Linked DNA regions of Oryctolagus cuniculus. The protein of the gene in region 5 interacts with the protein of the main gene of each other region in a biochemical or structural test. Links are inferred from orthologs where the notes say so. Each region holds a gene or a part of one and is shown on either strand. Other genes may lie near its edges.

The links.
Region 1: of the proteins of ubiquitin-conjugating enzyme E2 D3 (region 5) and UBA1, one has a biochemical effect on the other in vitro, tested with the Homo sapiens proteins (10 studies listed by BioGRID, with this or other methods). The link is inferred for Oryctolagus cuniculus from reciprocal best matches to the Homo sapiens genes UBE2D3 and UBA1.
Region 2: the proteins of ubiquitin-conjugating enzyme E2 D3 (region 5) and RFFL form a complex in vitro, tested with the Homo sapiens proteins (5 studies listed by BioGRID). The link is inferred for Oryctolagus cuniculus from reciprocal best matches to the Homo sapiens genes UBE2D3 and RFFL.
Region 3: the proteins of ubiquitin-conjugating enzyme E2 D3 (region 5) and NEDD4L form a complex in vitro, tested with the Homo sapiens proteins (7 studies listed by BioGRID). The link is inferred for Oryctolagus cuniculus from reciprocal best matches to the Homo sapiens genes UBE2D3 and NEDD4L.
Region 4: the proteins of ubiquitin-conjugating enzyme E2 D3 (region 5) and SIAH1 form a complex in vitro, tested with the Homo sapiens proteins (3 studies listed by BioGRID). The link is inferred for Oryctolagus cuniculus from reciprocal best matches to the Homo sapiens genes UBE2D3 and SIAH1.
Region 6: the proteins of ubiquitin-conjugating enzyme E2 D3 (region 5) and TRIM23 form a complex in vitro, tested with the Homo sapiens proteins (4 studies listed by BioGRID). The link is inferred for Oryctolagus cuniculus from reciprocal best matches to the Homo sapiens genes UBE2D3 and TRIM23.
Region 7: the proteins of ubiquitin-conjugating enzyme E2 D3 (region 5) and RNF111 form a complex in vitro, tested with the Homo sapiens proteins (3 studies listed by BioGRID). The link is inferred for Oryctolagus cuniculus from reciprocal best matches to the Homo sapiens genes UBE2D3 and RNF111.

The regions. Positions count from the first base shown.
Region 1 is NC_091453.1:32,736,062-32,739,561, reverse strand, and holds part of UBA1 (ubiquitin-like modifier-activating enzyme 1), read right to left. Parts: intron 3,405-3,500; coding exon 3,307-3,404; intron 3,189-3,306; coding exon 3,042-3,188; intron 2,930-3,041; coding exon 2,753-2,929; intron 2,653-2,752; coding exon 2,548-2,652; intron 2,460-2,547; coding exon 2,379-2,459; intron 2,052-2,378; coding exon 1,896-2,051; intron 1-1,895. UniProt on the Homo sapiens protein: Catalyzes the first step in ubiquitin conjugation to mark cellular proteins for degradation through the ubiquitin-proteasome system.
Region 2 is NC_091448.1:39,258,572-39,262,071, reverse strand, and holds part of RFFL (E3 ubiquitin-protein ligase rififylin), read right to left. Parts: intron 200-3,500; coding exon 1-199.
Region 3 is NC_091441.1:20,107,563-20,111,062, reverse strand, and holds part of NEDD4L (E3 ubiquitin-protein ligase NEDD4-like), read left to right. Parts: coding exon 1-1,031; intron 1,032-3,500. UniProt on the Homo sapiens protein: E3 ubiquitin-protein ligase that mediates the polyubiquitination of lysine and cysteine residues on target proteins and is thereby implicated in the regulation of various signaling pathways including autophagy, innate immunity or DNA repair.
Region 4 is NC_091449.1:32,098,063-32,101,562, reverse strand, and holds the end of SIAH1 (E3 ubiquitin-protein ligase SIAH1), read left to right. Parts: intron 1-1,307; coding exon 1,308-2,158; 3' UTR 2,159-3,239; downstream 3,240-3,500. UniProt on the Homo sapiens protein: E3 ubiquitin-protein ligase that mediates ubiquitination and subsequent proteasomal degradation of target proteins.
Region 5 is NC_091438.1:28,033,138-28,036,709, forward strand, and holds ubiquitin-conjugating enzyme E2 D3, read right to left. Parts: upstream 2,404-3,572; 5' UTR 2,231-2,403; coding exon 1,787-2,230; 3' UTR 501-1,786; downstream 1-500. UniProt on the Homo sapiens protein: Accepts ubiquitin from the E1 complex and catalyzes its covalent attachment to other proteins. In vitro catalyzes 'Lys-11'-, as well as 'Lys-48'-linked polyubiquitination.
Region 6 is NC_091445.1:86,572,744-86,576,823, reverse strand, and holds the start of TRIM23 (E3 ubiquitin-protein ligase TRIM23), read left to right. Parts: upstream 1-1,280; 5' UTR 1,281-1,493; coding exon 1,494-1,574; exon of another isoform or gene 1,575-2,006; coding exon of another isoform or gene 2,007-2,075; intron 2,076-4,080. Other genes in the region: TRAPPC13 (trafficking protein particle complex subunit 13), read right to left, coding at 748-793.
Region 7 is NC_091443.1:81,954,437-81,957,936, forward strand, and holds part of RNF111 (E3 ubiquitin-protein ligase Arkadia), read left to right. Parts: intron 1-1,274; coding exon 1,275-1,367; intron 1,368-2,507; coding exon 2,508-2,603; intron 2,604-3,500. UniProt on the Homo sapiens protein: E3 ubiquitin-protein ligase. Required for mesoderm patterning during embryonic development. Acts as an enhancer of the transcriptional responses of the SMAD2/SMAD3 effectors, which are activated downstream of BMP.

The DNA.
Region 1 (3,500 bases), on a different chromosome or scaffold from region 5:
CTTGGCCTGCAGCACTCTTCCCCAGAAGAGGGCGCTCTAGTCCTTCACATCTAAGTCTTTGCAGAAAGGAGGTCTTCCTTAACCACTGTACTCAAAACTGCAAACCAACTTCCTTGGCACACCCAGCTTTCCTTCTTTTCCCTTTTTCCTTTGCAGAGCATTCATTACCACCTAACCACAGACCTCACTATGATACTGTATGTACTGTACATATCTACTTCTTCCTTGGTGTACCCCGAGGGCCTAGAGCAGCACCTATACCTAACTATTTGGTGAATGAATGAAAAGGGAACTAGATTCTGGGCAAGCAAAAATGACAGTCCTGTGGAAGGCCTCCCAGAGATCCCTGTATAACCCAGTTTCCACCTGTGCCAAGATCTGTGAACCCAACTGATTTAAACCACAGTCCTTAGAAAGGTTAGTCCTTGGCTGCGGTCTGGGACCCTGGATGTCTGCAAGGTGCCCATGATTCTCTACCAGGTCACGATGGTCCAATGAGCCTCAACTGTGCCCCCAAACAATGTGGTTCATTCCCTCCGGGAATCTGGAATTTTGCTATAGGACCAGCCTCCAGTAAAATCCCTGAGTACTAGGTATCTAATAAGCTTCTCACAAATCCCTGAATGGAGAAACTAAGCATGTCCTGTGCAACTCCACTAGGAGACAACTCTTACAAACTAGAACCTGACTTCATTCCATGGGCCTCTAACCTTTGCTGATTTGGGTCTGTATCCTTTCACTATAATCAATTACAGCCTTGGGGCCCATGTTGTGGCACAGTGTGTTAAGCCAGCACCTGTGACGCCACTGGCATCCCATAAAAACACTAGTTACAGTCCTGGCTGCTCCAGTTCCAATCCAGCTCCCTGCTAATGCACCTGGGAAAACAGCAGAAGATGGCCCACGTGGGAGACCTGGGTAGAGTTGCTGGCTCCTGGTTTCAGCCTGTCCCACTGCAGTCATCTGGGGAGTGAACCAATGAATGGAAAATCTATCTCTCCCTCTCTCTGTGTAATTCTGCCTTTCATACTTACTTGAAAGGCAGAATTACACAGAGAGCAGAGAGGCAGAGCGAGAGCGAGAGAGGTCTTCCATCTGCCGATTCCCCAATTGGCTGCAATGGCCGGAGCTGCGCCAATCCGAAGCTGAGAGCCAAAGCTTCTTCTGGGTCTCCCACATGGGTGCAGGGCCCAAGCACTTGGGCCATCTTCTACTGCTTTCCCAGGCCACATCAGAGAGTTGGATCAGAAGTGGAGCAGCCGAGTCTCGAACCAGCGCCCACATGGGATGCCGGCTCTTCAGGCCAGGGCGTTAACCCACTGCACCACAGCACTGGCCCCGTAAATATATCTTAAAAAAAAAAAAACAAAAACAAAAACAAAAACCCACAGCCTTGGGACTGGCGCTGTGACATAGTGGGTAAAGTTGCCACCTGCAGTGCCGGCACCTTATATGGACACCGGTTTGAGTCCCGGCTGTTCCACTTCTGATCCAACTCTCTGCTGTGGCCTGGGAAAGCAGTAGAAGATGGCCCAAGTACTTGGGCCTTGCACCCATGTAGGAGACCCGGAAGAAACTCCTGGCTTTGGCCATTTGGGCAGTAAACCAGCAGATGGAAGACCTCTCTGTCTCTGCCTCTCTGTAACTTTGCCTTTCAAATAAATAAATAAATCATTAAAAAAAAAAAAAAACCACCACAGCTTGTATACACGCCGAGTCCTGTGAGTTCTCCCAGTGAATCATCAAGCCTGGAGTAGTTTTAGAGGCCCTCAACACAGTCACAACCAGCACTGATAAGAGATCAAAGAAAACAGGGTGGAGGTTTCTCGAATGAATGACAAGAGAAAGTGAGGGACAGAGGGATGAAAGAACACCTTGGACCCCATTGTACTCACCGTGACATCCCAGGGCCGGAATAGAAACTGTCGGTTCAGATTAGATTTCTCAATGGTGTCCATGTCTGTGACAATTATTTCTCCGTTCTCACCACAGCCCAGCCCAATCATGGCAAAGTTCTTGAGCAGCTCACAGCCAATAGCCCCTGCACCCACCTAAGAGGCAGCCAAGAAGACAGAGAGGCTGATCAGGGTGATGAAGGTTAGTGCAAAACCACCCATCACTCCTTAGTCCCCCCGAGCCAGCAGGAGAGAGGAAGAAGGTCTAGTAGTACATCTTCAGGTCCCCAAACCTAGTCATTTGAGGAAGGAGGCACCAGATAGGCAGACAAGGACACACAACTTTCCTTGAAGAGATGTGATATGAGTACAAGAAACAAAAGACCCTCCCTCTTCCCTCAGGATGCAGGAGGTGGCCTTGGAAGAGATAGGGCCTGAAGCCAGGGGAGGTGAAGGTAGCAGGTGTCCAATGGGATCACTCACCAGGAAGTACTTCTGCCTGCCCAGCTTCTCTTGCAGGTCTGAGCCAAACACAGCCACCTGCCCATCATAACGGTTCTGGCGCTGAGGAGCATGAAGGGAGGAGGTTGAGAGAGGGCCCTCTTCAGAAACGTCCCCAATGATGCCTTCCCCACAGGCCCTACTCACTTACCGGGAGGCACTTGTCCTCTGTGAGGGATTCTTTGTCCTCCGGGAGACACTCAAGGGCATCAAAGTACAGCCACTGCATGATGGGCATAAACTTTCCAGAGCAGGCCTGGGGATGGGGAAGGAGACAGGAGGTGGCCAGCGATTAACTGGGGCCTGACACAGGTGGACGGCCAAGTGGTGGACCCTAATTCTCCACTCCCACTGACCTTCATGACTTCCTGGGCAGCCAGGCCCCCAATGAAGGCATTGATGGGCGCCAGGTCCCCGGCTGCCACAAAGGCCAGGTTCCGGATGAGGTCCTCATCCAGGCTATCTTGCTGCACTGCCGACGAGGCTTTAGAGTTCACAGCGCGTGCTAGGGTCACCAGCTCTGCTGCATCCTCCTGGTGGGCCAGGGGAACAAAAGAAAAAAAAAAGAGAGAGGCTCTGTCAGGCCACCATGGGAGGAAAAAGAGCAAACAGGTAGAGGCGTGGTTCCCCCACCCACCGTCCCACCTCGTTCCGGGGTCTAGGTGGCCGGCTGTGCTGTGCACAGAACTTGTGCAAGGCCTGGAAGCCAATGTGAAGCTGAGCGGGGCGAGAAAACTTGGCGAAGTCCGTCATCACAAAGTCAGGCTCTGCCAGCGAGGCTGACAAGGATTTCTGTTGGAGAGAGACAGGGCATGGGAACCAGAAGAGAGGAACAGAAGAGGGGGAAACGCCTCAAGCCAGCCCCCCCACCCCCCGCCCCCAAGCCCACTGCCCTCTCCAACACACTCACAAAGCTTATCTTCTTAGGTACTTTGACCTGGCTGACAATGCCTCCACGGATGTAATCGGAGAAGTTGGAGGTGTCACAGATGCTAAAGGTGTAAGGACCTATGATGGATGGGGAAGTTGTCAAGTCTACCCACCCTCCCTAAAAATCCTCCACACCCACAAGGTATGAGAAATAATTGTTTTCCCCCAGCTCAG
Region 2 (3,500 bases), on a different chromosome or scaffold from region 5:
CTTTCTCACGGCACATCTCCGTGGAGATGTCGTGGAGGCTCAGGTAGTCCCGCAGCTCCTTCACCTTCATCTTCATGAGCTCTTCTCGCTGAAAGGCTGTGGCCCGGAACCGCTGGCAGAGGAGGCAGAGGCGGGGCCCGTTCCCCACTTGGCTTGAACAGGTCAGGCAGAAGCTTTTCTTACAGTCCAAGCAGGTCTGCTGTTTAGGGCAAAGGGCAGAGGAAAGCATGTCAGACACACAGAACAGGACAGGGAATGGACGGGAGCTTGGGGTTCCCAGGCTTCGCGGATCTCCTCTAGTCACTCTTGACTGTCTCCTAGGCGAGCAGGTGAGGGTGCGAACTGCTCTGCAGGTCAAACACAGACTCCCTGTGTGCCTGTGCACACGGTGCTACTCTACTCAGCTCATTTAAGGCTTACTTTCTTCATTTTATTGACACAGGACCTAAAGCTGTGTTAATTCCTTAGAACTGAAAAGCTCTGCCTTTTTATTAACTCTTCTTGCCCCAACTTTTTCACAGTGCGTAACTTAGCCTCTCTGACCGTTTCCACATCTGTAATGGGGGCAGTAACACAGGGAAGATTACGAAGCTGGTGCCAGGTTTCTCTACTCGAGAAAGGCCCACTCAGAGTACTGGGAATTCAGTGATACATACAACCTTGTCCAAGACAAATATTTAGACAGCTCTGGAGGCCCTCTGGACATCAGTGTGCTCTCGCTTGTGAAAGTACAGAGTGTCTGAGTCAGGCGACAGGAGCGCCTGGCAGGCAAGCTGGTACTGCCTGGCAGGCGCTCCTCCCGCAGTCACAGACAACCCACGTGGCTCGCTCAGCCCACAGGGTACGAATCCTTGGCCTCTTGGCCCACAGGCTGAGCGAGTGACAGCTGGCTGAGCTCTGCTCTGGCCAAGTGCAGGTCACACTCCCACAGAAGAGGTAATTCCCAAGCATGCCAGGATCATCCTTAAGGGCACCCTCACTAATCCTCTAAATAAGTTGAAAACTTTTCATCCTGTGGTGACTTAAGGATTAACCTAAATATTTCTGCTCCCTCCATTCTAAATATAGAAGACTGTTCAAGCTAGAGAATGCCCAAGAGACTCAGATTCTCAGTCAAGATCACAGACACGGCTGAGTGGAGCCTGAACCAAGTCTGCACAGTTAAGAGAGTTCTATTTCACTCACATTTACGCATCATCACATAGTAAAGGGAAGAGGGCATACCGTGTACCACCCAGTGAGGGCTGTAAAGGCTTGGGAAGCATGGCCATGAGACACCTATGGAGCTGCCTCCTTCCCTACACAGTTCACGCCACACAAGGGATTGTTCAGAGACCACTCACAAGGACACACAGCTTCATTAACAGTTCTGGGACTAGCAGCCATGCAGCTGGAAAAAGGGTGTTTTGGGGCATTTGGGGGTTCATTCCTATCTAAAGCTTTCCTACTTGGAAATGTGTTTAGGATGACTGACAGTGACACAGAGGGGCCTCAATGGCATGAAGCTGTGGTCCTGACACAGGACACCACTCAAGCCCATGAGAGTTATAAAGCCTGAGTAGCTCAGCCAGTCAGATCCAAACAACTCCCTGTTCTTTCTTCAAATGTGTGTAGCTTGTTGAATGCGAGATCAGAATGCAAAGAGCAACCCAGCATCTGTAGACCCCTGCTCACCCGGACTGTGTAGCAATGGGGCATCTGAAACACTCCCTGGAGTGGGGTATTGCTCCAGGCTAAAATCCCAGCCTGCAGAGGCAGGAGACAACACGAGGTGGGACAAGATGACTGCTGAGGGCAGGAGCGAAGCAAATGCCTGGGTATAATTCCAGCAAATTGTGCAGACCAACTGCATAACAAGGTGGGTGAGAGATGCATTTGTGGGGCTGGTGCTGTGGCGTAGAAGGTAAGGTACCTGCGACACTGGCATCCCCTATGGTGCCAGTTAGAGACCTGGCTGCTCCACTTCTGATCCAGCTCCCTGCTAATGTGTCTGGGAAAGCAGAGGAGGATAGCCCAAGTGTTTGAGCTCCTGTACCCACGTGGGAGACCCAGAATAAGTTCCTGACTCCTGACTATAGCCCAGCTCAGCCCCAACTGTTGCAGCCATTTGGGGAGTGAATCAGTGGGTGGAAGATCTTTCTCTCTCTCTCTGTCGCTTCCTCTCTCTGTGTAACTCTGACTTTCAAATAAATAAATAAATCCTTAAAATGCAAAATACATAAATAAAAGAGATGAATTCCTGGAAGCAATGTGCTTGCAGAAATGCCCAGCGTATACTCAAGCATTAAACATGGAGATCTGGAAGCAGCACCCCAGGCAGGCATGGCCTTCAAGGGCATCACATGGGGTGCTTGACTTGCTTCTCTTTGCCACTGTGCCCTTCCCCAACTCCTGCCCACGCCTCGCCCCTATTTCCTGGCACTGGTCAGGCCCACCTCCTCATCCCACCAGTGGAAGCACTACTGGAAGTCTGACATGAGATAAAGAATTATAAAACTTTAGCACACAGTGAATACTCACAAAAAGGTAACATGATCGCCTTTCATTCCCTTTCCTTTTTGTCTCAGCTCTGAGCTTTGCCAATACCTAAAGCCACGCCTCTTTCCACTCTGAGATTTGAGTGTTACTTCCATGTTTCCAAGCACAACCTCTCCTCCCTTCACAAGCTGGGCCAACTCAAGAAGCTGGGTGCCAAGATCCCTGCTAAACCACGGGGGAAGAGCTCAATTCAGATGGCATATTGGCTTGGGGCAAAACGACAGCTTGCCATTTCTCTCCAAGCCTGGAAATTCAGGGAACACAGGGGACATACCTTACTTATGTTCTCTCTACAAAGTCCTTAATGTTATCTGTGGTTTACACTCAATGAGCATTCAGAAAATACTGACCATAATGAAAAAAAGAAAAAGACAGTGGGATCATGTAATCGTTTCAGTTCAACCACTTCCAGAAAAGACATTTTAAAAGCCTCTGGCTGTTAAATGTTAAATGCCAAACCCTTAAGATAAGAAGGCTGATCCACTTGAGCATGAAATTACAAATGAAAAATCCTCATATGTGAAAACATCCTTAGCATTCACAACATTCATTGTGGAGTGCTCAAAATTAATTCGTACTTTTCTAACAAGGAAATACTGAAGCAGTAGCCATCCCTCACTATTCAAATTGCAAGTTTTCTTACCTCCACAAAGCTCTTCTTGCTACATTTTCTTTTCTCATAGGATGGTGTATATTGCCCCAGTTTCCCTGTTCTACTGCAAGCTCCCTTTTAAGTATCTCAGCTTCCTAACCCAGGCAATGCCTGACACACAGCAGATAGTCAATAATTTATTTCCAATCAATTGTGGGGGGCTGCTTATTTTAATCGTTGTCATGCTCTTAGGTACCCAGGCCTAGAATCTGTTATCTGCACCTGACGCGCTCAGTGTCCTCCAGGAGGCAGCTCTGGAGTCAGAGACCTGAGTTTGAACTCCAGCTCTGCCATTCAGTAGCTATGAGAT
Region 3 (3,500 bases), on a different chromosome or scaffold from region 5:
CCGAGATCCTAGACCAGGAGAGAGAAGAGGACTTTTTCATGGCATTCCACACGCTGCCGCGGAGGAGCAGCCCGCACCCCTGCGCCCCGCACGGCACCGCGCCCGGTGGCGGCGGCCTGCAGGACAGCGTGGGCGCTCTCAAGCGCAGCTCGTCCATGTTCATCCCTCAGCTGCTCACCGGCCTCGACGCCCGGCCCACGCGCAGCTCGTCCGTGCAGATCTCCCTGCAGCGCAAGGCCGCCGATGGGGCCACCGACGGGTGCGGGCCGCCCGAGGGCCCCGAAGGCCACAGCGAGGACGGGGACCAGGCCGCGGCCGCCAGGGCCCTGGCCCCGAGTGGAGCCCCGGAGCCCGCCCAGAGGGACGTGTCTGGGGGCTCCCCACCGGGAGCCGCCCGGGACCCAGGCCCGCTGGTCAACGGCACTTGCGGCCGCCTAGTGCGGGGCCCCGGCCGCGGCGAGGGCTCGGAGGAATCCGTGCCCGGCCTGCGCATCCAGCACCGCGCATCCAGCGCGGACGTGCGCCAGGTGCGGCTGCTGCCCCTGGGCCCCGATGGCGCCGCCGAGCCCAGGCGCTGGTCCTTGCAGCACGTCCCGGATGCTGCTGGGAGCTCCGGGAAGCGCTGCTTCGTGTTCCAGCTGCAGCAGCCCCCAGTGGGCAGCCCGGGGCTGGGCGGCGACTTCAACTTCGGCTTCACGGGCACGAAGGGCGACAGGCTGGTGCGCTATCCCCGCATCCGGCTGGAGAGGAGCACCTCGTACCCTACGCAGCCGCGGGCCGGGCGAGGGAGCCCCACGGAAGACCGGGCCGCACCGGAGGCACCGCCGCGGGCCGGCAGGATGGCCCCGGAGATCCGCAGGACGAACTCGGCCGAGAGGGCTGCACAGGGCCAGGGTTGCATGTTTAAGATCAGGCAGGAGCCAAACGTTGGGCAGCAGCATTTCCGGATTCTGGTCACCCGGGAGCCCGAGGAGGCGCCGGCCACTGCCACGGAGGACCCCGCTGAAAGCCCTGGTCCCGCCGGGGCCGTGGTAAGTGCGCGGCCAGGGCTCGAGTTCTGGCAGGCCGGGACCATGACATTCGGCCCAGTGTGCGGGAGAGGCCCGCAAGGCTAGTGAGCGGTCCAGAAAGTGGCCTGTCTCTAGGCCCTCAGAGTTGGAGAAACCTGTTTTGGAAATTCAAGCAAAGCATACTATTTTTTTTTCTTCCCTCTCGCTTCTGTATAGAATAATTTTGAAAATTTATTACTTGAAATTAATCTGCCAAAAAAACAGGTCGGTGGCCCGGCATGTCTCGGTGCGGCCTGGCACAGCCCTCTGGGGTAAGGAGCAGGCGGCGCCGCAGAGGGCTCGAGGCGGAAGGCGGGTCTCCCTTGCAGCGCCTGGTGGGAAGGGGGCGGCCCTGGGGTCCTTCATCGCCTTGGGTTTTGTCCTGTGAGCACTGAGCAGGAGCAGGGTGGGCCAGGAGGAGATGGCGTTGTTGAAGCAGACAGGCTCCTGGGCCGAGGCTGGGGGTCCCTAGGGGGACCTCGCCGCCTTCCAAGCTGGGAGGGCCCCTGCTCCGGCTGTGGCCATGTCCACCCTGGAGCGGCTGTGGCCTGTGGGTGACATGGAGCAGAGAGAGAGTTGCCGGCCTGCTGGCGAGGGTGACGCTGCGGCTTTTCCTGCTGGGAGCGGGATGCGGGCGCAGTCCTCGGCTAGTGGCTGCTGGCTCGCAGGCGCTGCCCGGAAGAACCAGCTCCCTGCGTTTCAAATTGGATTCCTCCCTCCCCACCACCACCGAATTTCATGTGATTGCGAGTTTGAGGATGTGATTATGAAATGCCTGGGGGATTTTTTGGTTTGGGTTTCACTTGCGAGTTATCTTCAGAGTGAGTGGTTGAGTATTAACTAGAATTGTGTTGCCTTTTGTTCGGAAATATTTCTGTCATTCAAGTGAGCTTTATCCCTGTTCTATCACTGGTTCTCACTGTTTGGAAGGTGCCGTCCAAAGCTAGGTACAAATGTATTTCTCTTTTTTTTTTTTTTTTCTTCCCTCTTCCATTAGGATTTTATAATCTTAAGCTTACTTATTCGGAAATAGCTTCATCCTTTGTCTTGGTCCAGATCCATGCCGGTTTTTACACAGTGGTACAGATTTCTGTGGCGATTAGGTATAAGAGTGGCTTTCAGACCCCCCACCCCCACCCGGGGGGTGACCGTCGGGACAGTTGGAAGCTGTTATTTGGCAGCACAGGTCCTTCCATGCTGAACTTGACCACCGACCCTTGAAGATGGTCAGAAGCCACTCCTGAGGGTTCCCCAAGGGTTCAGTTGTGTTACAGAAGCATAGACCACGTTGCACCTCGCTCGTCAGGTGCAGGGATTGTTCGCAATCCAAGTCTCATTTGGCTCGAAATTTCTAATACCACTGGAAAATAGAAGAAGCTGAAAATCGTGTGTCTGTTATAAGGCCGGTGCCAGTTTGCAGTCCCCGTGGTGGAACACAGAGTCCGGCAATTAGGAGACGTAAATTCTGGACTACAGAGCTTTCCTAGTAAATGGTTGTTCTCATGTTTACACTTACATAAATCGTTTCACGGTCGGGACGTTGGTTTGCTTTTGAGCAAATGCGTTTTCCTTTAAAAAACAAAAACAGAGCCCGTGGCCCCGCAGACCCGCGCGCTCCATTCAGCAGCACTGCGAGCGTTTCCTGTGGACGGGGAGCTGAGCGCAGGCAGCAGCTGCCGCGGCCGGCCGCATTTATCTTGAAGGCAAACATTCGCTTGGGCGTCTACAGTCTGGCTGCCACCGGGGCGCTTTGGCGTTTCAGATATCTGCCGCTTCAGTCAGGAGGGCGTTGCGTGATGAGGTTTACATGAGAAATGAACTGAAGTCGATTACAGCCTGGTTTTGGGATCGTGGGGAAGATCCTTCTCAACTGGAGAATCCGAGGCAGGGTTCCCGTTTCTAAGCGGGCCTCAGCCCTTCCCGCGAGGTCAGGCTCACAAACAGGCCGCAGTGGCTGAATCTGAAATGCACCATGACTCCAAAAATGTTAGCCAGCCTGATTCGTAGGAAAAAATACAGCAGGGAACTCCTGATGATGATAGATTCTTTTCATCCTGTCACCATTAGTTAATAAAGTCGGTTCTTATACTCTTCGAGTTATCATCAGTTTAAATGCTTCAGGGGTCTTAGGTCTTACCAGTTCAGTCTGTGGTCTGATTTAGCAGTCATTTAGTGACTGCCTGAATTGTTTGATTCGGTTAGTTTTTGGTTGATTTGGTTCGGTTTGGTTTCGTTGTGAGCCCCTTGACTACTCTGGGCTTGGAGAAAATTGGGTCAGCATTGCCCAGCTTCGTGGGCCCCGTGAATGCCACCTTGTGCGTGATGACTGCTGAAGTGCACCTGGCACAAGCCGAAGAGCCGGCTTGCCCATCCCATCCGTGTCGTGGGCCGTTTCAGATCTGTGTCGATAGCACCACCCCGGCGACTTGGAAGGTTTAGGGACTGTCTGTT
Region 4 (3,500 bases), on a different chromosome or scaffold from region 5:
CTTTGTGCATTATATCTGATCTGTATTGTGGAATGGAAGAACAGAATGACGTACTTTTCTCTGGACTGCAGAATCAAAACTTTTGAGGATGATCTTCCATTTTTTCCCCCTCATTCTTGAGGTGGGCGCTGATAACCTAGTGGATAATGGTTTGGGAGAAGACTTAGTTAATAGGATGGTAGCAGGTGTTTCTCCTTGGCCCCCTTCTTCTGTCCCCAAAATAAACCTCCAGAGCAGATACTATTCACCGTTAGAAAGAGTTAATGTCAGTGCAGATGATCCCATGGCATTTGAACTACACAAGGGTACTTAAAAAATGTTCCTGGAAAATGAAATTAAAAGATAAGTATATATTGGCACACGTTTTTTGAAATCTGTGTAGTTTTTTTCTCAACACATTTCCATGAGCATTTTTTTTTTTTTAAAGATTTATTTATTTGAAAGAGTTGCGCAGAGAGAAACGGAGAGTCAGAGAGAGGTCTACCATCTGCTGGTTCACTCTGCAATTGGCTGCAATGGCCGGAGCTGTGCTGATCTGAAGCCAGGAGACAGGAGCCTCCTCCAGGTCTCTCACGTGGATGCAGGGGCCCAAGGACTTTTGCCATCTTCTACTGCTTTCCCACGCCATAGCAGAGAGCTGGATAGAAGAAGAGCAGCCAGGACTCAAACCAGTGCCCATATGGGATGCTGGCATTGCAGGCGGCGGCTTCACCTGCTAAGCCACAGCACTGCTGGCCCCTCCATGAGCATTTTGAAGATTCATTGTATACAAGGATTTCAACATCTTTTGCACTGAAATAATGTTACCTTTTAATACATTTTCCATGAAATTTTTGTAGTGCCCTGCTGTAACTCTCCCCATATGTAGCTGTTCACAGCTGTCTCGGAATCAGAAAGAAACAGATAGAGGAATATCAGAGAGGGGGTGGAGTGGCAGTCACAACAGCTCTGATTGGATGTAGGCTGCTCACACAGCGTCTCCTGGTTGCTTATGGCTCATTTTCTGTTTCAGCATTTCTTACTCCCATTAAAGACAATTCTTAGCACTGTTTTTTAAAGGGGGGGTGGTGTCTAATTATGTTCTAGAACATTTTGAAAATGGTGTATAACTTACAACTGCTAATAATCAAAATGCACATTTAGTGTCATTTATGTTTTGTTTTTAATTCTATTTTTTATTTTTGCTCACAATAAATTTTGCATGAAGCTTAAAGTATTTCTGGCTTGTAAAAGTTACTGATATAGTAAGTAAAAAGTTGTAATTTTTCTCCTGCCTCCTTTTACTTTTTATTTATTTTTTATTGCAGAAATGAGCCGTCAGACTGCTACTGCATTACCGACTGGTACCTCGAAGTGCCCGCCGTCGCAGAGGGTGCCTGCCCTGACGGGCACGACCGCGTCCAACAATGACTTGGCGAGTCTTTTTGAGTGTCCGGTCTGCTTTGACTATGTGTTGCCACCCATTCTTCAGTGTCAGAGTGGCCATCTCGTTTGTAGCAACTGTCGCCCAAAGCTCACATGTTGTCCAACTTGCCGGGGCCCACTGGGATCCATTCGCAACTTGGCTATGGAGAAGGTGGCCAATTCAGTACTTTTCCCTTGTAAATATGCCTCGTCTGGATGTGAAATAACTCTGCCACACACAGAGAAAGCAGACCACGAAGAGCTGTGTGAGTTTAGGCCGTACTCCTGTCCGTGCCCTGGTGCTTCCTGTAAATGGCAGGGCTCTCTGGACGCTGTAATGCCCCATCTGATGCATCAGCACAAGTCCATTACAACCCTTCAGGGAGAGGATATAGTTTTCCTTGCTACAGACATTAACCTTCCTGGTGCTGTTGACTGGGTGATGATGCAGTCCTGTTTCGGCTTTCACTTCATGTTAGTCTTGGAGAAACAGGAAAAATATGATGGTCACCAGCAGTTCTTTGCAATTGTACAGCTGATAGGAACACGCAAGCAAGCTGAAAATTTTGCTTATCGACTTGAGCTAAATGGGCACAGGCGACGATTGACTTGGGAGGCGACTCCTCGGTCTATTCATGAGGGAATTGCGACAGCCATCATGAACAGTGACTGCCTAGTCTTCGACACCAGCATCGCACAGCTCTTCGCAGAAAATGGCAACTTAGGCATCAATGTAACGATTTCCATGTGTTGAAATGGCAATCAAGAGTTTTCTGGCCAGTGTTTAAAACTGTTGCATTCAGTTTCACAGAGAGCAAGGCACCCGACTGCCTGCCAACCTGAAACTCTTTGGGCAGGTGGAAACTAGACACATGAAGGTAAATAAAAAGAAAGGCTGTTAAATACAGGAAACAGTTGCATGTAGTAACACTAATATATTTAAAAATAAGTCAACAGTAAACCACTGAAAAATATATATATATACACCCAAGATGGGCATCTTTTGTATTAAGAAAGGAAGCATTGTAAAATAATTCTGAATTTTGTGTTTGTTGTAGATTGATTGTATTGTTGAAAAATACTGGTTTTTGTTTTGTTGTTCTGTTTCTTCTGTTATTGCGTGTGTCTGTGTGTGTGTGTGTGTGTGTGTGTGTTTCCCTAACTGACAAGCCATCTGAGTGGTCTTGGACCACTGCTTTTTCCCCTTTGTGAGTCAATACATAGTGCTGCTGTGTTTCCTTGTGTGTGTATATTTGCTAATTTTTATTAATTCTAGTTTTTCATTAAATAAACTTTCTTTTCTGTAATTCAGGTTTTCCTCACTTTTTTGGGTACCTTTTAAAGTCAGTGTCTTCCTGCCCTGATAACTGTTTATGGTGAAGTTTGTGTTCGGGGTACGTTCTCGTTCCCCATTCGTCAGTTTAGCAGACACATTTCATCAGCTGCTTGGTGAAGACAGGCGTTCCCAGAGGAAAGGGAACATTGGGAAACCCGTCAGAAGCCACCCAAGCAGCCACGAGATGGTCTTCTCTCTCCTTTTCGCACTCACTACTTCGTCTCCATTTGAGTCCTATATACAAGTTAGGGAATGCATTCTGATTCATATAAATACTGAAAATCAGGCTTTTTTTTTTCTTTTCCAAATATTGTAGACAAATCACATGATCACATGTTCAAAATTTGTTCTTGTATTTATTGGTTTTGCAAAAAGAAGGCATCGTCACATACAGTGTTTGTAATTAAAGTAAATCATTTGTTTAAAAAAGACAGTTTGCAAAAAATATGTTTTTGGTCTTTTATAATTCTCATTAAAAGAATATCTGGCAAACGGAAAACTCTTAATGTGTCTGCTTTAGCTGTAAGATTGGTAAGGCCCGGGCGCGCTGCCGCCCTGCCCCGCTGCCGTCCTGCCCCGCCCCACCTCAGGCAGGCAGCGTGATGCAGCCGGCGCTCAGCCGCGTGGCCTCCAGACACAGCCATACTTTCTCACCCTCCCCTGCACGCTGCCTGCTTCTTGTGCCTCCGTAAGAACAGCCACCACTTAAAATACTCCCTTTCTCCCCTTTAGGGAACAAAAGTGCGTTTAGTATTTCATA
Region 5 (3,572 bases):
AGTCAGACCAGGAGAGATATTCTATCTGCTGGTTCACGTTCCAGATGCCCACAGCATTCAGCGTTGGGTGAGGCCAAAGTCAAGAGCCTTGAACTCAGTCTGGGACCAACTCCTTGAGCCATCACCAGTGCTTCCTAAGGTGTGCATTAACAGGTTTCTGGAATTGAAAGTGGAGCTGTAACTCCAAACCAGACACTCTGATATGAACACAGGTGTCTGAAGTGGGGACTTAACCATTGAGTTTAATAATACTTTTAATCTTCTACCTGAAGTAGATTTTTTTCAGTTATTCTTCCAGTGAGTATCTGTGGTTGGTAAATTTTCTCTTTGTCTGAAAATATCTTAATTTCTTTTTTTTTTTTTCAATAGCATTTTATTCATTCATGTTAAGTCACCTGAAATGATCTGTTTTAAATGCTCATTAATGTAAATGGCTGAACAAATCCATTTCAATGGATACTCAATATCCCACATAGTTAAGTCACTTCAACACAGCCTCATGACAACTCCCACACCAAAACAGTACTTTATTTTGTAAATTTTGACCCATTATTACTCCCAAGTTATGTTTTTATCAGCTGTCAAGTGTACAAGGTGAAGATAAGTTTTAGTTAGATGGGGCTACACCTGGAAAATAAATTTCTTAAAACTCCATATACACGCTTCAAAACTGCTGGGTCCCAAGTCCATCTATGAACTCCAGGGCTGCCAGTATCACGGTGCAGCATATTAAAGCTACACTATCTGAATAGCTTATTAATTCTGCATAAATCAGGTCAAGCAATGTGTCAACCTGTAACAGACTGTGCACTCTAACTGAACATGGCAAAATATTCATTCTTTTGAACTTTACATCATCATTTGATGTCAAACAATGAAGCAAATCCCAACAGTATATACAAAAAACAGCTTTGCATTTACAAAAGATTGTTTCCTATACTGATTAATCCAGGCAGCTAACTCATTGGTTTATGCAACTTTATTGAAGAAAAATAAATCAATTACTAGCAGAGCTATTAGTTGATCACTCATCCATTGACAACTTGCATCATTTATTCAGTGCTATATTAAACAGTGTATTGGAAGATAGATTAACTAATAGCTCCAAGCCTCCTAACAATTTAAATGAAAATTACAAAATGTTTGAGACCCTATTTTGGAATACAAAGGGTGTTTGACTTTCAATTTCCATTCTCTGTAGAACAAGAACAGGTCATTCCTTTATTGACATGCATAAAATACATCACATTTTCTGTTCTGCTGATGCTATAAATTCAATACCAATTCTCCAGCCACATCAGTTATGAGCATAAAGTATATCATGTAACCTCAAATCTCTAACAGTGGAAGGCTTAAACAAGAATGGATGCTGCTAGAATAATGCTGCTTCCTTTGATGTGACAACTGAGCATCCATCTCCCTCCCTCTCAGATGATTTCTTCAGCATGTTAGAGCAGTGAGGAATGGTTTTAGTCTCATAACCAAGTTAGAGTGAAGACATTGGCCACATAATACACATGCTCCATTTTTTTAAAAAATTCTGAATCTTGGGCAACTGTTCTCTTGTAACTACTTTACAGTTTCTAAAAGCAGTTATTGTCCAAAGCTGGAAGAACTTAAGTCTTCTCAGATGAGCATGTGAATGAATGGAGGGAGGTAAACAAAAAATAAAATTAAAAAAGATGAGGTCTGATAGGGGAGCAGCCGGATAAGAAAATCAAAAAAGGAACAGTAATTTAAAGTTTATTCCAGCTATAATGCAGGTTATTCTGACTTTAAGGTAGCATCACATGGCATACTTCTGAGTCCATTCCCGAGATATTCTGTTGTACTTATCTCTGTCTGTTTTATAGATCCGTGCAATCTCTGGCACTAGGGGGTCATCTGGGTTTGGATCACATAGCAGTGAACAAATGGATAAAAGAACTTTAGAAATAGTTAAAGCAGGAGACCACTGTGATCTTAGAATATCGAGACAAATGCTGCCATTACTGTTAATATTTGGATGATAAATTCTTGTTGTAAATGCAACCTTAGGTGGTTTGAAGGGGTAGTCTGTAGGAAAATGAATTGTCAAAAAGAATACACCGCCTTGATATGGGCTGTCATTAGGTCCCATAATTGTGGCTTGCCAGTGAAACATATCATCCCCAACTGGACCTGCAGAACATTGTGCTGGAGGGTCACGGGCCAAATCACTAAGTTCCTTATTAATCCGTTTCAGCGCCATAGTCTGTGCTTTTAGTCTGGCTCCTCTCTCCCTCTCTCGGTGTATGCTCAGAGGTCCGGCCAAAACTCTTGATTATCCGGGCGGCGGGGAAGGATTGTCTCTTGGTCTCACGCCGGCTCTGCCAGACACAGGCGCTTGGTATGGAGGCGGCGGGTATCGCGAGAACGACGTGGACGGCTCGAAAATATCTTAATTTCATCTTCACTCTTGAATATTGGTTAAAAATGCTGTGGAGTTTTAGTTTGATAGGAATTTTATATTGAGTAAATTTCTCCAAATATTTAGCTTATCATACTACTGAATCGGTATGCTTTCTAATTGATCTTTGTCTTCCTACCTTCTGAGTCTCTTTTCATGACAATTTGTTTTTAACAGCAGTTAACTTCACAAAGGGCTCCATTGTGAGAAAGCAAAGGAAGATGGATAAATTCAGTTTCTACCTTCTCTTGCTGCAGTCATATTTCTTTCTTCTACATTCATTGTTTTCCTTTCCTGCCTGGAAGTTGGGTGCCTGTGGCAGACTTGAGATCTATATCACAACCTTATTCATTCCCTGAAAATTTGGCCAAGAATGGTGTGAGGTGGAAGCAAATAGAGCATTTCAGCTGTGAGAGAAAAATTATTGGCGTAAGGAAACAAATGTAATGAGCCAGAAACTGGATCAAGCTATACCAGCATGAGAAATAGTCACAACATCTAATGTGACCCGCAGAGATAAACAAGATTTGACAAAGGCATTTTGTATGCACCAATCAGTCTTTCAGCTTATTCAGGAATTAGGGCCTGAAATATAGAGATCTTAGAACACTCAGAATCCTTGACCAGACATAAATAATGAGTGCCCATTTACAGTGGAAGAAAATTAGTTCTATAAAACTGAGAGACTTGCCAATATTAGCTGCCAAATTAACAATATTGAGGAGCTCGATTCAGTCATTGCCAGTCTCTCCACCAGGACCAAACATCCTGACTTTTTCAGCACATGAGGGGTTATCAAAGCATTACCAAGATGTTGGCACTAAGAACCAGCCTCCTGTTAGATGCATTAACTCATACAAGTAACAAAGGAGGATTCCTTAGCCATCCTCTTCCATTTAGTTTTCCCTGAAGCAACGAAAATTCTAAAAGACAGATGAATGAGCTCTAATAGCACATTTTGTTTAGATTTATTTTCATTTCAATTCTTACATGCACCAACTACAAATCATCTCCTGCATAGGTGGTGAAATTGCTTGATTATAAGCCAGAAAGAACCAGCTTGCTGTAAGATATTTTGAAGTCCTATGACGTATCATCACCCTTCTAACAGGGATTACAATAATAGCTGGTACTTACTGAATCC
Region 6 (4,080 bases), on a different chromosome or scaffold from region 5:
AGGAAGAGCGCCTCCATCTGCTACTTTATTCCCCAAATGTCCCTAACAGGTAGGGCTGGACCAGAGCTGAGGCCAGGACGCCGGACTTCGCCGCGTCTCCCACGTGGGCGGCAGGTACTTTGCAGTACACTGTGGTTATACCGGTTCAGAAAATACTGATAGGAGGAAAAGCTTGCACACCTTCAGCACAGACATAATCTGACTCAAATATTTGCGATCTGCGGTTAAGATTAGGAACCCAATGCGGTGACGGTCAGCCGTACATTTTAACAAATCTACGTTACGCGTGGCAGGGCTATGTATTGCTAAATCCTTCGCACAGTTGCTACGCAGTGCTAACACCCCAGATAAACCTGAAACCTGGTAACTTCCCAGTGCCCACTAAGAGACGAGAGACGGAAGGAAAAGCCATTTCGGATGTTTGCTTTAATGCACCCCGGTTCGCAGAGGTCTCCCCAGTAGGGGCGCGGCCTCGGCTCTGCATCCAAACATCTGGTGACTGCAGCAGCACAGGTCAGGGAGAACGACCAGGTGTCTGTTTCGTTCCAGAAAGCAGCTCTGAAAGCGAAACGCGAAGAGGCCAAGTCGCCTCCTCCTGCTCGCGCCGGACGCAGCGCGGGGCGGCGGGCACCGAGTGTTTTGAGGCCTGGCCCCTGTCACAGAGGTCGCGTCTGTGTGGCAACGGCCTTCGGGAAACTGCGAGAGAAGGGAATAAGACAGAACAACGGTACCTCGGCACACATTTACCTTTCAGCGCCAGCAGGTGCTCCTGTTTGGGGGGATTCACTTCCATTTTGACCGGCACGTCTGACTCCAGGCCTACGGGGGCTGAAGAGGTTCAACTTGGCCCGGAAGGGAAAAAAAGCGTACGTCGGGCAGAACAGGCGTCAAACGTCCTCCCAACAGCTTCTTTGTACCTTAAATTCTCCTTTCACTGCGTCCTTTACGGACCCAACGGCTTCTTTTCACCAAAGCCATCCTTTGGCTCTTGGAGATCTGCACAGAAAATACGGCGTTTTCCGTCTACGATCACACATTGCGACTGGAAGCAACCACTGTAACGATACGCGGCCTCTTAGAGATTAAAAAAAGGGCGAGAACGTGGCATGCCGGGATTTGTAGTGCAAGCAAAAGTCGCGTTGCATGAAGGGAGATGTAGTATCCGCCTTGGCTAGTTTGCCATTAGAGAGCCGAACTCATAACCGGGCCGGGAATTTCACCTTTAAACTTTAATTATGTGTTATCCATTTTTTTCCTTTGACTTTTTTCTTTCAGCAGTTGCAGGCTTCTTAGGAACAAAAACAACACGAGCAGGACTGTGCCTCCAACCCAGCCGAGGCTGACGGGAGGCGGAGCCGCTGACGGGAGGCGGGGCCGCGTCGTACTGGGCCTGTGCGCCAGCGGCGTGCGCGGAGGCCTCTGGGTAGGTGGCTCGACCCCGCCTCCCAGGTGAAGGCTCCGAGGGCTGCTCCTGCGCCGCTGCTCTGCCCGGGATGGCTGCTCTGGTGGTAAACAAGCCTGGAGCTGGGCCGGACAGTGGCCGGCAAGGCAGCCGGGGGACGGCCGTGGTGAAGGTGAGGGACTCTGCGGACTGCGCTCCCCGCTTCGGCCGTCCTCCGGCTCATCCGGGAGACTTGGGCGGCATCCCTGGGGCCCAGGCGCGGCCGCGGCGTCCCTGTGTGCCTGGCAGGCAGGTCTTGGCGTCCCTCCGTCCGCGACCTGGATCCCCGGGCCCGAAGTTGCCGGGTCTAATCCTGCAGATGCCAGCATGCACAGCGGGGACGTTTGTGAGAGGGAGCTGTGGGCCTGTGGGAGTGGCCCGGACCGCTCTTTCTGTAGCCCCTCTATCTTAGTTGAGCCTAGGAGGCGTTAACTCGCTTGGTTTTGTAGAATTGAGCCATTATAGCCTCCAGGTACTGTGTTAGGGGTTTTAGCTGGTTGGCATCTACTCATGAGGTGGATGCTAGCTCTCGTTTTGCAGGAAGGAAACCCAGGTTTCGGTTAACATGGTGTGCGACTTTAACGCCTGCGGCGTCCACTACGGCGCAGCTTCTGTGATTAGACGTCTGTTACTGGTGAGCTGCGCCTTTCCCGCTTAGCCGTACAGCCTGTCGACATGGTTGAGAAGTCTCCAATGGCAGTACAGTTGAATCTTAACTCTGGGGTGCCTGAATGGCCCTATGCTGGAAGGTTGGGATGCTACCATGTATAATGCTCCAAAAATGCACTTACCGAAAAGTCAGTTGAAACACATGGCACTCATTTTCCCTGTGCTCTGAAAATATCGGAGGATTTGACAGAGAGAACTGATCTGAATGGTTCATGCCAACCTTCGGGATTGTCAATGTTATAAGCAATTGGTAATACTATAAGCAATTGGTAATACTATAAGCAATTAGTAATTCTCGTTCCTGACTGCATGTCAGGGTCACCGAGGCCTTTTGTGGAGGAATGGCGCACTTCTGCGGTTATTAGGTTGGCGTTTCTACACATATTTCAGTCCCAGAGTGACTTTGATGTACAACCAGGGCTGAGAATTGTTGAACTAGATAATATCTGAAGTTCTTTTGACCTTTTGCTTATTAGTAGGCACTTATGTTTTCTCACCTAATGTTGGTTTTATATAACAGCAAGTGACACATTTCTGCCCACAACTTAGTCATTATTATTGCTTGTTGATTCAGCTGACCTTTATGTAGTAATTAAGTTATTCTGAATATATAGAGCAGCATATCTGAGATACAGAGGAGCCCTCATTATTAGGCATGTTGTATGGGTGAGATTTTATTTATTGAATTGTGCTTTTGATAAATAGAGAATACCTGAAGATTATTTGTGAATTGACTTGAAGTTTAATTCCATAATTGGAGTATCGTTTACATTTCTGTTACCTTGTTTGCTTTATAATCTGAAAAAAAGTACCAAAATGTGATGCAGAATTTGTTACAGAATTTGATATATTAGAAGCATTTTTAGCATGTTCATTTTTATTTTAACATGTAAAATATTCTGAACTGTGCAATAAGATAGTCCTTTTTGATGAAAGAAGAAATTCATCAGAAAGTGAAAGTTGACATTTATAATGCTAATGCTTTGTAAAATGCTGTCTTGTTTAGTGACCAAGTTGATAATGGCAGGGTTTTTATTGTTAGGAAAAACAAAATCTGATATTGCAAAATTATTTACATTTTAAAATTAATTGCAAAGTTTCTTTTGTTTCCTAAGCTTTCTTATAGTCCTTTTAAAGTATGATCTGGTTTGTTCAAATTCGATTTACATGTAATAAGTTGAAATTTTCTTGTGAAGTATGAAATTTACCACCCCCCATCTAGGATTTAATTTCTTACACTGTTCTCTTCAATAACTGTTCATAGATACTGAGGAAAGACTATCTACTAAGTTGATACCTGAATAATTTTTGGACCTGTGGTTGGCTTACTAAATGGAATTATGCTAATGGTTTTTGAAAAAAAAAAAAAAACCTATAGTAACAACATGAGCAAGTTACCTTGTTTAGTGATGGGTCAGAAGTATAAGTGTGAATGAACTAAGAAAGTTTTTTTTTTTTTTTTTAAAGATTTACTTTATTTGAAAGACAGAGTTACAGAGAGAGGTAGAGCCAGAGAGAGAGAGAGAGGTCTTCCATCTGCTGGTTCACTCCCCAGATGACCACAATGGCCAGAGCTAAGCTGATCTGAAGCCAGGAGCCAGGAGCCTCTTCCAAGTCTCCCACATGGGTGCAGTGCCCCAAGGACTTGGGCCATCTTCTACTGCTTTCCCAGGCCACAGCAGAGAGCTGGATCAGAAGTGGAGCACCTGGGACTCAACCTGGCACCCATATGGATGCTGATGCTGCGGGCCAGGGCTTTAACCTGCTGCGCCACAGTGCCGACCCCAAGCAAAGTTTTAATTTTATTCTTTTGAGGTTATTGTCAGAAATAAATTTAACATGCAGTATTCAATAATGAGAGCATTTATTAAAATCTTAGATTTATTTTATACTGCCTAATTCTATTGTGAATATCTTTTCTGTATTAAATTTGATGAAGTGGAGCTTTTGTCTTCCTTTTTAAAACGATG
Region 7 (3,500 bases), on a different chromosome or scaffold from region 5:
GTGGGTGCAGGGGCCCAAGCACTTGGACCATCTTCTTCTGCCTTCCCAGCTGCATTATCAGGGAGCTGGTCGGAAATGAGCAGCTGGGACTTGAACTGGCGCCCATGTGGCATGTCTGCACGGCAGGTGGAGGCTTAGCTTTCTAAACTGCAGCACTGGCACGAAGACTATTATCTTGAGGTTGAGTTTTGTTGGAAAATTCTGTGCATTTTTATCTATTGATAAGATCACGGGCCAGTGCCGTGGCTCAATAGGCTAATCCTCCACCTAGCGGCGCCAGCACACCGGGTTCTAGTCCTGGTCGGGGCACCGGATTCTGTCCCGGTTGCCCCTCTTCCAGGCCCACTCTCTGCTGTGGCCCAGGAGTGCAGTGGAGGATGGCCCAAGTGCTTGGACTCTGCACCCCATGGGAGACCAGGAAAAGCACCTGGCTCCTGCCGTCGGATCAGCGCAGTGCGCCGGCTGTAGTGCACCAGCCGCGGCGGCCATTGGAGGGTGAACCAACGGCAAAGGAAGACCTTTCTCTCTGTCTCTCTCTCACTATCCACTCTGCCTGTCAAAAAAAAAAAATAATAATAAGGTCATATAATTTTCCTCTTGAAGTTTGAGGTACCAAGAGCATCAGGATTATGTGAGAGTGTTTGCTACATAGGATTCTTTATGTAAATCAGGAAATCTTTATTTCATGAAACAACTGTTTTTTTTTTCTATTCTGATCATATTGTTAGTGTTATGAGAGGTTTTTTTTTTTAGAGATTTATTTATTTGAGGGACAGAGTTACATAGAGGTGGAGGAAGGGAGGGACGGAGAGAGGGGAGGGGAGAGAGAGAGGGAGAGGGGTCTTCCATCCACTCTTCCATCCACTGGTTCACTCCCCAGATGGCCACAACAGCTGGAGCTGGGCTGGTCTGAAGCCAGGAGTCAGGAGCTTCTGTGTATCCCACACGTGTGCAGGGGCCCAAGGACTTGCCTCATCTTCCACTGCTTCCCAGGCCATAGCAGAGAGCTGGATTGGAAGTGGAGCACCTGGGACTAGAACTGGTACCCATATGGGATGCTGGCACTGCAGGTGGTGGCTTTACCTGCTACACCAGTGCCAGCCCCACTACTGAATGCTTAGTTGTACTTATGTGTATTTACTAAGGTTGATTGAATTTTTGAGTACTTGGAGAGCAATGAATATCTTGAATTATTCAGTGTTAATAGTCAGTTACACATCTGTTCTTAACTGATTTAGTCTGTCTTTTTTTTTTTTTTTTTTTTATTAAAACAGGTTCCTGACATGGCAGGCTATCCTCATATCCGTTACATTTCATCAGGATTGGATGGAACATCATTCAGAGGTCCTTTCAGGGGCAATTTTGAGGTATGTAATAAGTGAAGATATGTATCACAGTATTTTCAGTGCAGAAGAATATATATATAGATATGTTGCTAGTATTCATAATTACGTAGGACTAATACAATGACTGGGAATCATGAAGCAGTAAAATGTACCATTTTCTGATATTGCTTCTGGGGTTATAGAAAATTTGATAGGAAACATTAATCTTAGGTTAAAAAGTATTTAAAGAATAAATTAAAATATCTAAATATAAAGATATATTAAATCAGTATAAAAATAGTGAACAATATAATTTAATGTATGGGGAAAACCTTGATGCTTTTTTTTTTCTGGTTTTAATGATTTATTTATTTCGGGACAGGCATTGTGGTATATTGGGTAAAGCTTCTGCTTACAGTGCCAGCATCCCATGAGTGTTTTCAAATAAATAAATCTGCAGAATTACAAAGAGAGAGACAGATCTTCCATCCTGTGGTTCACTCCCCAAATGACCACAAGGGCTAAGGCTGCACCAGACCAAAGCGAGGAGCTCCCACATGGGTGCAGGGGCTCAAGCACTTGGGCCAACTTCCACTGCATTCCTAGGCATATTAGCAGGAAGGTGCATCAGACATGGAGTAGCCAGCATTGGAACTGGGTCCCATACAGTGTGCCAGTATTGTAGGCAGCGGCTCAACCTGCTGCACCACAAAGCCAGCCCCAAACCTTTGCCTTTGCCTGAGCTTAATTTTTAGTGAAACATTGCTGGAGACAAAAATAGCTTAAATAATTTACTTTGTAGCTAAATATTTCAAGTCCTTGTTTCTTCATGTTAGTTTAGAAATTACAGTTGATATGATTTATGAAAATTGTTTAATTTGCTTCCCTAATTTGCTAGAATGAATGATTTCTTCTACATGTGTACAAACTTACTGATTTTGTAATACCATGTGGTAATACTTATATTGTTACCCAAATTTATAAGGATGACTTTGTGAAACTACTTCAGGTGGCTGAGCAAAAAATTTTGAAACCATCATTTGCTATACCATATATAAGAACTGTTGTGTAAACAAACTGTTACCTTGTCAAATGTAAGATTATTACTCCTGTACAGTATTGACAACATTGTTTAAAATATTATCGTCCTGGCTTTTAATCGTAGTTACCCTTCCCTTTCAGGAACTGATTCATTTGGAAGAAAGATTAGGAAATGTCAATCGTGGAGCATCCCAGGGGACAATTGAAAGATGTACATATCCCCATAAATATAAAAAGGTAAGAAATTATTCCATGAAACTTCTAGAATATTATTGAAATGTGTAACGTTCAGTATTATGGCTTTCCGTTGAACTTGTGGAACCTAGTAGATATGTTATTTATTTACTTACTTATTTTTAAAGATTTATTTATTTGAGAGGCAGAGTTACAGAGAGACAGAGAGCAGTCTTCTATCCACTGCTTCACTCCTCAAATGGCTGCAACAGCCAGAGCTGGACCAATCTGATGCCAGGAGCCAGGAGCTTCTTCCAGGTCTCCCACATGGGTGCAGCAGCTCAAGCACTTGGGCCATCTTCCACTGCTTTCCCAGCTATTAACAGAGAGCTTGATCAGAAGTGGAGCAGTCAGGATACTTACCGGCTCCTATATGGAATGCTGGCACTCTCTGTTATTACTGAAGCAAAATATACTTAGGATTAACATTTTCTTGGAAGTACAGAAATAAATTCTTCTTCCAGAATTTTTGTGCCTTCTATAATGTACACACACACACACACATATATTTCTTTTGCATTAAAACATAATACAAAGAGGATGATGTGCAGATAGTTTTGTATGTTGCCTTTGTATTCTGTCAGTACTCAGCTCACCTATATATTTTTTTTTCAAGATTTATTTACTTATTTGAAAGAGTTACAGAGAAAGGGAGAGAGAGAGATAGTCCAGGCACTTGGTTAACTCCCCAGATGGCTACAACAGCTGGGTCTGGGTGAGGCCGAAGCCATGAGCCAGGAGCCTTCTGCAGGTCTCCCATAGGGTAGCAGTGACACAAGCAGTTGGGTCATCCTCTGCTGTTTTTCCCAGGCCTGTAGCAGGGGGCTGGATCCAAAGTGGAGCAGCCAAGACTTGGACTGGCACCCCTAATGGGATGCTGGCACTGCAGGCCACAGCTTT